Linked DNA regions of Arabidopsis thaliana. Changing the gene in region 1 together with any one later gene gives a genetic interaction. Each region holds a gene or a part of one and is shown on either strand. Other genes may lie near its edges.

Region 1 (5,838 bases):
AATACCTAATCTTAGCGTAACATTGAACTAACAAATCAAACACTAAAGGAGTAGAAGATGAGATCTCATAAGTATCTAACAACGAATCGACTAAATCCGAATCGGGAGGAGAATTTAACAGAGACGATTCAATTAAAGCTCGAGCGTCGATTAGTAATCGAGCTTTGACAAGGATATGAATCGTCAATGCGTAAGATTTGATTCCGTGACGGAGATTTCGAGTGTGGGATGACCAATGGAAGAAGGATAAAGCTTGTTTGGCGGTTTCGGGGTTTTTGAATCGGAGAAGGATTGTTTCGATTAAGGAATCTGATAGATCTATGGAGGAGAATTTGGTGGAGAGAGTTTCCCAGGTATCGTTGGATTGGAGGGATTTGGAGATGTAGTCGATGAGGATTTGTTGTTGTTTGTTTGGATTTGGATTAGTTTTGGAGGAGAAGGAGAAGAAGCCATGGATGAGTTTTGGAGATCGGGTTGATTGAGAAACTAAGTAACGCCATTGTTGTTGTTCTACTAAGCGGCGCAAAGCTGACGCCATAATACTGCATCAATGTCATACATGCACGCAACAAGCATCCATAACTCGATCCAAATTCTTATAAGAATGTAACTACATATATAAGGATACAACATTAGTCAAACATGTAATCTGAAATGGTATGATTATACCACCACCATCTTGTTCCTCTATAACCGAAATCGCCACGGACACATACCGGTTTAGAGTTTCTATTTTGTTATTCCCTTTCTGTTTTAAGATATCATCCAAAACGCTCCGACAATCTCTGATATGTACACAATTAAACCAGAGAACATCAGCTTCCGATGTTTTACGGGAGAAGAAGGCGGGAGCGGAATTACTCCTCTGGGGCATGGGGCATCCATCGCCTTTACATGCCCTCGTACAGTACCCGGGGCTCGAGAAGATCAGACAGAACATCTCTTATGTTGTCTAGTGATACGGGTTTGAGCAACACACCGTCTAGACCAAAGCTCATGCATTTCTCTTTTGTGGATTTGTCAGTGTTACCACTGAGTGCCACAAGTAGTGGCCGTTGGTGGCGTTGTTTTGTGAATTTCTCGTGAATACGGAGAGCGATTTGGTAGTTTTCGACCCCGGGCATGCACACGTCCATGAAGACCACTTTGTGCTCATGGGACACAACTCGGAGACACTCCTCGTTTGAACTCACCGTGGTCACTTCGCACCCAAGGTGTACAAGAAGTCCCTTCGTCACCATTCTACTTACCCTGCAACCAAAATAATCATCGGTTTCTCATAAGATTAAATTTGCGTTTTTTCTAAACGCCAATATCTGCATTTGCAAGAAGTAAGGCGAGAGATTTTGCAAAGAGAAAGGTGAGAAGCTTATACTAACCCGTTCTCATCCATGACAAGAACCTTAAGTCCAGTGAAATTTGAATGTCGGGGAATGGCTGGAACTTTCGGTATGCCCGACTGTTTAGATTCGTTTGAACGTTCTGAGATCCCAAGTTTAACATCAAAGATAGCCGTGCATCCTTTTCCAAGACCATCGCTCTCAATCCAAATGTTACCCTCCATCAGATTCACAAACCTTGTCATATTAAACGCTTATGAGTAAACTTTTAACAACACAGAAGACAAGAAAAAGTTGGAAAAAAACGTCTTTTAATAAGGCTCAAACCTCTTGGAGATGGCGAGGCCAAGCCCACTACCACCCGAGCTTCTCGTCGCTAAAGATTGTGTTTGAGCAAATTTAGTGAAAATCTTTGGAATGTCTTGAGGATTTATTCCTGCTCCAGAGTCTTTTACCTATATTTGAATAATCATCAAAATTAAGACCTAAGAAATACTTTCAGCTATGGTATAAGATCCCAAGATACAAGATAATAACCTTCACTCTCAAGTAGAAATGACTCCCAGTTGGCACGACAAAAAAGTCAGCAGCTCGTGTGTCTGACTTGGTGACAAGAGCGGTTACGGAGATACTACCTTGTTTGGAGAATTTCACAGCATTACCAACTATATTTAATATTATCTGCATTAGCCGTTTCTCATCCCCAACAACAAATTCTGGCAAATCTGGTGCAAGATTTAGTGTGATGGGTAATTTCTTAACAACCGCTATAGGCTTTATCAGATTGAGGACCTGCAACAAGATTCAATATGACAATCAAGTACACAAATAGTATAAACTTATGAAACATAGAGCTGTTCAAAAGTTACCTCTCTAAATAATGTATGAAGATTGAATGTCCCAAGTTCAAGTTGAAGACTTCCATCTTCTAACCTTGAAAGATCTAAGACATCATTCATCAAAGTTGCCAAAAGGTTACTACTTTTAAGTATTGTTTCCACCATCAGTCTTTGTTCAGGGGTTAGTTCCGTTTCTTGGAGTAAGGAAGAGAGTGCAATAATCGCATGCATCGGTGTTCGCATTTCATGGTTCATAACCGCTAGGAAATCATTGCGGGCACGGATTGCTGTTTCTGCTTCTCGTCTAGCTAGATCAAGAGCAACATTCTGCTCCATGAGAAGGTCCCTAGCTCGCATCGACTCTTCTAGGATCGCAGCATGTGAGAGAGCTACAGCCACCTATAATAAGAGAAGAAAAGTTATAGACAAGATCATGAACATAGCAAAGAAGAGAAATTCTCAGCAATGTAAAACCTGATCAGCGACGACTTCAACGAGTTCCAACTCATGGACATGCCATTGCCTTGCACTATCTGAAGGAAGCATCAAAACCATCAAAGCATATCTCTTTGTTGAAAGCTCAGGCCAGTCATTAATCTGAAAATTAGAAAGGTGGAGAAGCGGAACCCTCACAGCGACCACCTCCCCTAGCATATATTTCCCAGAAACAGGTCTCAACCTAGCCACAGGAGAATTAGGAGATATTTTTACAGCCCTACTAGTACCAAACACTTGGTTAATCACCGGTAATTGAATAGGAACCGTATACTCCACGGGATGTTGATGACGAAGTGTATAAGAAAGCTGTAGCTCTAACCCAGTTCTAGTAGGCATCCACAATGCACACTCCTCCAAAGCTAATGTCCTACCAAGCTCAACAAGTGTAGTCTTTAAAATAGTATGTCTATCTAAAGTGCTTCTAATCTCATGAGTCAACATTCTCACATGCCTTCCGGTTTCTTCCTGAGTTCGAATCAATCCCATTTCTCTATCGAGCTCAGCAGCTTTATTTTTCAAGAAAAGCTCCCGAGTCTTAACACTCAAAAGATCAGGAATAATATGAACAAGCATCAACGCAGTAGCACACGAGACAACAGCGGTTAACACCTTCGCGGTAGTCATCACAAGCGCCACGGTTCTCGAATGCGTAGTGAAAGTCCATAAGTTAATAAGATGAGTTGCTCCACAAAGAACGATAAAAGCACCAAACTGAACAAGTACCCATCTATACGGAAACACGGCTGATTTCTTCACAAAGTAAATCAACTCAAGAGGAATCGAAAAATACGCAATCGCAATGAAGAAATCGGAGATGTATTGGTATTTCATTAACAATTCATCCGCTGGCCATTGCGGTTCAATACAATTGCAGACTTCCATTATGAATTTTTTACACTATAGTTCCTCTCTCACACATACACACACCTGTGTAACAAACACATAGCATTATCAACTTCGATTTACGACGAGAACGTAGCGTAGACAGATCATGAGCATCAAAATTGCTATAAATTCTGAAGAATCGAATTCGATCACAACGATTACGAAAAAATAGGTTGCATATTTCAGTCTCGAGAACAGTAAAATTCGAATCCGAATCATGAAATTAACGATTAAATCTTAATTTAAAGTTCCTAATAACGATGCATTACACTAGATAAAGACCAATTAGGTTAATCAATCTCTATGATTTGAGATCGACGACAACAACAGAAGAAAACTGTGGAAGTGAAGAATATATATAAAGAAGTCACGAAACAATCTGAGGAGAGAATCGAGGAAGAAGAAGCTTACTTGGGAAGAATTGATCGGAGAAGAGGAGGAATTGGGGATTTGGGACGCGGCGGAGAGCGACGGAGAAGGAGAAAAGGGGAGCGTTGAAGCTTTTTTTCAAGTCAAAATTGGTTGGGTTTAACACTTCTTCTTCGTTCTTACTTTTTTTTTCGACGTCATTTCTCTAATTTTTTTGTTATTATTATCAGATGTTTTTTTTTAATAAAAAAGGGTAATATAGCTGGTGGGTGCATGAATTTGTTCATTCAAATATCTTATGATAGTGTAATGACGTAATGTAGATAAAGGAATAGAGTAAAAATGGTAAGAAAAATACAGATAATATAGGATAAATATCCCCATATTTATCAACAAATACTATCTTTATGGTTTCACCAAAAAATGCAAAATATTGTTTTCACTAACTTTCACCTTACATTGATTCGTATGATTTCAAAAAAGGAGAATGATAATGTCATTTGGAGATTAAGCAATATATATGTTTAGCCAATATAAAATTATGAGTTTTAAGTGTAATCTTATGTAAATAATCGTTTGTATAAAACATTATATAGTTGTAAGAGAAGTAAAACAAGTTGAATCAAACAAATATGTTCATGTGAATAAAAGCTATATTATGTCAACTTGGAGATATATCAAACTACTAATGTTATATCTGGTTAACTGTAATATATCTCCAAATTGACATAATATAGGTTTTCAGTACCTCAAAACTAAATCAGAGTTAACCAGAAATTTGATCCTAAACCAAAAGTATATTAAGCAATTATATAAAATTATTACATTAGTTTTTTTTGAAATCAATCCTCCGAAAAATGTACATAAGACCTTAACCAGTCAAATCAAAATCCAAACAAAACTAAATTTCATCGATTCAATTCTCAACCAACGTTTATGTCTCATATATACTAGTGTTGATTACTTCAAACTTACAATATGGAATCTTAATATATACCTTCAAGATGATGGCTCTAATCAGCCTATCTCGAACTGAATCTCATTTTAAGATCAGTATTAAATCTCAACACACGAAATTTTGATACATACAGTAAAACCTCTATAAATTAATACTCGATAAATTAATAATCTCTATAAATTAATAAATTTTTTCGGTCCCGAGTTGGAACCACTGTAAAAAGTGATACAAATCGATAAATTAATAAGATAATAGTTTTTTTGAAAATCTTATATAAACATAGGGTCCCATTAATATCATAAATTACAGAGAAATATAATTTTAATATTGTTTTTTTTTTACTTAAATTTGTATAAGTTTTTTTTTATTTCATTTTAATATTTTTACTCTATCAAAAACTTTTCTTGTTGTTTTCTAGACATGATAATTATTTCTATTTGTAATTGGTTCTAAAAATATATTTTAGATAATGGAATGAATCTTAAATTTTTATAGAAATTAAAAAAAAAATTACCACTTTTGGAAAATCTCTCTGTAAATTAATAAATATTAATTTATCGATAAATTAATACCTTTATAAATTAATAGAATTTTGTGGTCTCAACATTATTAATTTATAGAGATTTTACTGTATTAAATTTTATGGATTTCCAAATTAAATCTAATTAATAATAAATAGATTGGTGTATATTCTTTATATATAAGTGTTGGTCCTTCAATTTAAAATAAGAATAAAAATCGCAATACCAAAATATATGGATTGAACCAAATTGATATTAAGGGAAAGAGTGGGGCCAATACTATAATGACCAGAGAATCGAAATAGAAAGAAAACTTAGGACATGGTTGGCTCACACTGGTCCACAAGTAACTCTTGTGGTTACAATTTTCACTTCTAATCCCATAATTCTCCTTCTTTGTCCTCTTCTTTCTCCCTAAAATCCTAAAT
Region 2 (5,579 bases), on another chromosome or scaffold:
GTCGGAGCGGTTCTGGTGGAGAAAGAAGATGCGGTGGTGAGGCAAGAGCACACGGCGAGGTTGTTATTAGAGACTATATCGCCGAAATGCGAATTCAAAGTGTTTCATTGCTATGAAGCTTAGAGAATCATTTAATTATCCGAAAAATAAAGGAATTTTAAAAAAAAAGGAATAAAAAGAAAATGAGACTTTTTAATTCTTAAAAGTGTTGAAATTGACGGAAAAAAAAAAAGTGTTGAAATTGATGTGATGGATAACACATAGAGAATAAGAAAAGTTTATATTTTTAAATTTGTTAAAAATGTTTATTGTATTAAAAAATTAAATTTAATACAATTATTATGTTTATGGAGTATTGTTAAAAAAAAAATTGTTGATATTAAATTTTTCCATTTTTTGATATTTTTTTTTAATATCCCCTTTGAAAATTTAATTTCGTCTATAAGGGATGGATTATGTGGATTAGATCAAATCGGCCAAATTTTATAAAATTGACAAGGTTTTCAAAAGTCTCAAATCGAATCAATGATTTTTTTTTTTACATGTCAAGTTATGATGTTTCTTTTATGTACGCAAAAAGGCAAAAATAAATGAACGTAATGATGGCTTTACACATTGAATTTGTTGGAATAAAGGTTCCAAATACGAAGTATGAGAAAGTAGAGAATATAAGATGGTCCACATGCAACTCTTACTATGAGTGGTGAACAATGAATCTAAAGATTTTTAGATTAGTTTCAAATGGAATGCTTTTTAAATAAAATGATATATAAGAGCATATTTTAGTAGGAACCTTCATACCAAAAATAAAGTAGGAACCTTAAAAACCTCTCAAGTTTCTCGTTATCTTCAACTTTTAGCATTACACATAAATACTAATCCTGGATTGACTTCTCTCAACTCAAAATTTCTATTAATTGTGTGTTCAAGAATAAAATATATTGATAATTATATGATTAGCGTGATTTTTATTTATTTATTTATCATGTACATGTAGTAGAGGCCTTTGCTAACTATGAAAGAAGGGGAATATCAATGGGAATATATAGAAGTGTGAAAGTATAAATCACATTTGGAAACAAGTGATTTATTTGATCAGTTAATTACTTTTGACAAGTTGATTATATTCATTTCTTCGAGTTTTTGGCAACTTGTTGAGTTATATGCATGGTATAAATTGATTTCATGTCCCTTCAAGAAAGTTCCTCACGTCACCATCGGGCTAAGAAGACATATTTACATACAGATGTCAACATTACGGACGATTACATGAACTTAAAAAACCTTAAAGCAAATTAATCATGATCTATAAAACGATTATATGAACTTAAAAACTCTAAAAAAAATTCATGATCAGTACCACCGATTACAGGAACTTTAAAATCCTTCCAACACTAATGATATTTTCAAATCCTTTACAAATAAATTTTCAAACATTTTAATGATTGTATTTCATATGGGCCTTAAATGGCCCAACTAACATATGTCAATAAGTCTAATACCAGAAAAGACTAGTACGTAGTAACAATTTAGTTAATTACCAAACGCCGTCGTTTTTCTCAACTCCGTTATTTCCTTTTTTTTCCTGGCGACTTATTTGATTTCGTGTCTCTCTCAAAGAATAAGGAAGACGCAGACGAAGAAGGTGACAATGGCGTACGTTAGTATGGGTGAAGCTCACCGGAGAATCACTGAATACCTAAACCGATTCTGCGACGCCGTTTCGTACCAAGACTCTTCTACACTTTGCCGTCTCCTCTCTTTCTCTTCCAATTCTCCACCTCTTCTCTCACTCGCCGACGCACTCAACGTCTTCCAGGTACATATATTCTCTGTTAAATCGAGACCCATGATTCAAATTAGCAGCTTGGAGTATGTTCCTGTGATTAGTGGCATGATCCTTGTAAATTGGTAAAGTTAGGTTCGATTTCAAATCCAGGATGCTTCTGATATGTTCCGATTGGGTTCTCGTATGAATTGTGAACACTAGGAGCATGGTTTTTATGTTAGCAAAGTTTGTAACTTTTAGGTTAAATCGATTCAATGTAAGATCCTTAAGAGTATGATTTTCTAATTGGGTCCTCCTACTTCACCAATGAGTATGAATTTCTGAATTTAGGGCTCAAAACACTAGGAACATTATCTTTATGTTAGCAAAGTGTGTATCTTTTAGGTTCAATCAATGTCAATCTAGGATCCTCCTACTTCACTAATGAGTATGATTTTCCAATTGGGTCCTCCTGCTTCACCAATGAGTATGAATTTAGGCCGTGAAAGTGTCTCCTATTGAGTTGTTGTAGTGAACACTCTATGTCTATGTTTGAGTTTATGAGTATGGATTTTAGATTTAGGGTTTTTATTTATATGTAGAGAGCTGTGAAAGTGCTGAATCCTTTGAGTTTTCTTTTCTTTGACTGATACAGGATTCTAGCAGTTTGATTAGACAGTCTGATAGATTCTCTGAATATGGCGAGATTCTGGCTCATGTGTTTCGTTCTCTACAAAGTTACCGAGTTGGGAATCTAGTCGAAGCATACCTTGCTTTCGATAAGTTTGCCAAGTAAAGTCTTCTTGTTCCTCTCTGCTCCTCTATTGATGTCTAATATGATTTCAGGGTGATAAGCTTTTTTTTTTGTCTGTTCACAATGTCTGATATCTGATGGATTCTATATGTGCAGTGCATTTGTTCAGGAGTTTCGTAATTGGGAATCTGCTTGGGCATTGGAAGCTCTGTATGTAGTTTGTTATGAAATTCGAGTTCTTGCGGAAAAGGTAGTATCTCATTTGTATATCCCTTTTTCAAAATCTTAACCTTGTCTGGTTTCATTGTGTCGAGGAGTCAGTTCTGAAAGCATGATTTTTCCACATGGAATTGCAGGCTGATAAAGATTTAACTTCTAATGGAAAGTCTCCAGAGAAATTAAAAGCAGCTGGGTCTCTTCTCATGAAAGTTTTTGGAGTTCTTGCTGTAAGTTTTCCCTTTGATCTATCTATATATCTTCAGGAATATTAGTTTATATTTGTGTTCAATATTTTTTCCGGCTCCTTATGTAGTTTTAAACTATAGGGGAAAGGTCCAAAACGAGTCGGAGCATTATATGTGACTTGCCAATTGTTCAAGACCTACTTTAAGGTGATATGCTTTCTGGCAACAGTTTGATATTTATGATTTAACCATTAAATGGAGTACTAAACAGGTATCCCCAATTTTGTATTTTAGCTTGGAACCGTCAATCTTTGTCGAAGTGTAATAAGAAGTATCGAAACTGCTCGGATATTTGACTTTGAGGAGTTTCCAAGAAGAGATAAGGTCTGGCGCAGTTCTCTGCAAACAGTTTTAGTTTTTGGCCTCCTTATTCGGTTACTTATTATCTTCTGTTTATTCTTCGCAAACACCAGGTTACATACATGTATTATACCGGCCGATTAGAAGTCTTCAACGAAAATTTTCCTGCTGTGAGTCACTAAGAGATTTTTTCTTACCATCACAGTTCATTTCGTAGTGTCAATCCAAATATTGATAGTAACATTTAATCTCTTTTTTTGGATCTTGCAGGCTGATACAAAGCTATCATATGCCTTGCAAAATTGCAACCCCAAAAGAGAACGAAATATAAGGTCTGATTCTGGTTTTACTCTGTGATTACCTTACTCTTGCATTGCGTTGCTTAATCAGCTAATGTGGCCTTATGTGAATCAGGATGATATTAAAGTATTTGGTACCGGTGAAGCTTTCTTTAGGAATTATACCAAAAGATGAGCTCCTGCGAAATTATAATCTGCATGAGGTAACGACTTTTCTGTTGTTCTATAAAATTTTCTTCGAATCTATGTCAAAACTTATTTCGCATCTGCTGAGTGATATCATATCTCTCTTAATCCTATTTCTCTACGTGTCCAGTACACAAAGATTGTGCAAGCTCTGAGAAAGGGTGATCTAAGGCTTCTCCGGCATGCTCTTCAAGAACATGAAGATCGGTATGTATTTCTTTCGATATCTTGCTTTTCTCATCTAATCCAAATGATAGAGTCCTTGTGGATACTCTAGAGCATGAGTATTGGAATTAGTATAGGCTGCTTGTAGTGGATTATATAGCTCTGCTGACAGGTCAGTAACACCTGGTTCTTAGGTAGAGAGCTAACAGGTTAAAAGAAAATTGGGGCAGAAAGAGTTGGGATGTTCTGGATTTGTCTAGGGGTTAGGATTTGCAGTTGGGTCGAGAGTAGAGTTGTGCAAGTCTCTATATGATGAGTATTTTGATTCTATCACCGAACAACTTAATATCTCGATCTAATACTCTTCTTTTATACAGGTTCTTGAGGTCGGGTGTGTATCTTGTCTTGGAAAAGCTAGAGCTCCAAGTCTACCAGAGACTCATGAAGAAAATGTAAGCAAAGACAAGCTATGATACCATCCAAGATTCTTGAGTTTATAACTCTTATTATTATCAATGTTTCAGTTATATAAACCAGAAGCTGAGTGATCCAGCGAGAGCTCACCAGCTGAAGCTTGAAGGGATTGCCAAAGCACTAAGATGGCTAGATATGGACATGGATCTGGACGAGGTTTGTTCTACAATACCATCCCATTCATTGCTTTTGACTTCTTCTAAAATTGAAATCTTCTATAAACTCACAGTTGTCAAAATAATACTGTATTTGCAGGTGGAATGTATAATGACGATATTGATATACAAAAACCTTGTGAAAGGTTATTTAGCTCACAAGAGCAAAGTGGTAGTTCTAAGCAAGCAAGATCCTTTCCCTAAACTAAACGGGAAGCCTGTTAGCTCATAAGTCTTCACGTGTTATTTTTTTTGTTGTATCAACAAACACTTTTTATTTTCTAATTGTGTGTAAAATTCATTCAAACAAAAAACAAAAACTGTTTTTACAATAGAAATGTGACTTTAAAACTGTGGAGTTTTCACCATGGTTGAGGAGTCTACTTACGAGTAAGGTCCAAATTTCCACTGAATATCGACATGAGAAGAATAAGTGATTACGAGTTTTAGTTTAGCAAAAAAAAGAAAAAGTGATTACGAGTCTCATTCGTATCTCCACAGAAAAATGCAATTTGATCTTTGGCGAGAGTTCCAGTTCCATACTTCCATTACCTTATTCTTTTTACATCAATAGGGGGCCTCATTGTTTTCTTCTCTACGATTACCACCTGAAGCAAAAAGACGATGAAGCCAACGAAGATCGTGATTCCGAACCGCCGCAACGAGAAGCTCGTGGGTCTGCTTCACGAAACTGGATCAAAAGAAGTTGTGGTCTTATGCCATGGCTTTAGATCGGACAAGACCAACAAGATTCTCAAAAACGTGGCTACAGCTTTGGAGAAAGAAAAAATCAGCTCTTTTCGTTTCGATTTCTCTGGTAACGGAGATAGTGAAGGAACTTTCTATTATGGTAACTTCAACAGTGAAGCAGAGGATGATCTGCATTACGTTATTCAACACTTGTCCTCCTCTAACATCATGAACCGTCTAGTTCCTGTCATTCTTGGTCATAGTAAAGGTGGTGATGTCGTTCTTCTCTATGCTTCCAAGTTTCCCGATTATATCCGCAATGTC

Evidence for each region. Genes that interact genetically often act in the same process or in processes that back each other up.
Region 2: of ETR1 (region 1) and EER5, a change in one rescues a mutant of the other (synthetic rescue), as found in Arabidopsis thaliana (one study listed by BioGRID).

What each region holds. Positions count from the first base shown.
Region 1 is NC_003070.9:24,732,419-24,738,256, reverse strand, and holds ETR1 (Signal transduction histidine kinase, hybrid-type, ethylene sensor), read right to left. Parts: upstream 4,096-5,838; 5' UTR 3,974-4,095; intron 3,605-3,973; 5' UTR 3,560-3,604; coding exon 2,654-3,559; intron 2,579-2,653; coding exon 2,210-2,578; intron 2,133-2,209; coding exon 1,878-2,132; intron 1,796-1,877; coding exon 1,668-1,795; intron 1,578-1,667; coding exon 1,380-1,577; intron 1,252-1,379; coding exon 891-1,251; 3' UTR 539-890; downstream 1-538. Other genes in the region: AT1G66345 (Pentatricopeptide repeat (PPR) superfamily protein), read right to left, coding at 1-538. UniProt on the Arabidopsis thaliana protein: Ethylene receptor related to bacterial two-component regulators. Acts as a redundant negative regulator of ethylene signaling.
Region 2 is NC_003071.7:8,465,142-8,470,720, reverse strand, and holds EER5 (proteasome family protein), read left to right. Parts: upstream 1-1,575; 5' UTR 1,576-1,651; coding exon 1,652-1,819; intron 1,820-2,423; coding exon 2,424-2,560; intron 2,561-2,649; exon of another isoform or gene 2,650-2,670; coding exon of another isoform or gene 2,671-2,678; coding exon 2,679-2,772; intron 2,773-2,878; coding exon 2,879-2,968; intron 2,969-3,067; coding exon 3,068-3,133; intron 3,134-3,220; coding exon 3,221-3,310; intron 3,311-3,399; coding exon 3,400-3,456; intron 3,457-3,556; coding exon 3,557-3,618; intron 3,619-3,700; coding exon 3,701-3,788; intron 3,789-3,901; coding exon 3,902-3,978; intron 3,979-4,313; coding exon 4,314-4,388; intron 4,389-4,460; coding exon 4,461-4,566; intron 4,567-4,665; coding exon 4,666-4,797; 3' UTR 4,798-5,031; downstream 5,032-5,579. Other genes in the region: CDA1 (cytidine deaminase 1), read left to right, coding at 1-123; AT2G19550 (alpha/beta-Hydrolases superfamily protein), read left to right, coding at 5,190-5,579. UniProt on the Arabidopsis thaliana protein: Involved in the regulation of ethylene response. Probable TREX-2 component required for nuclear RNA export.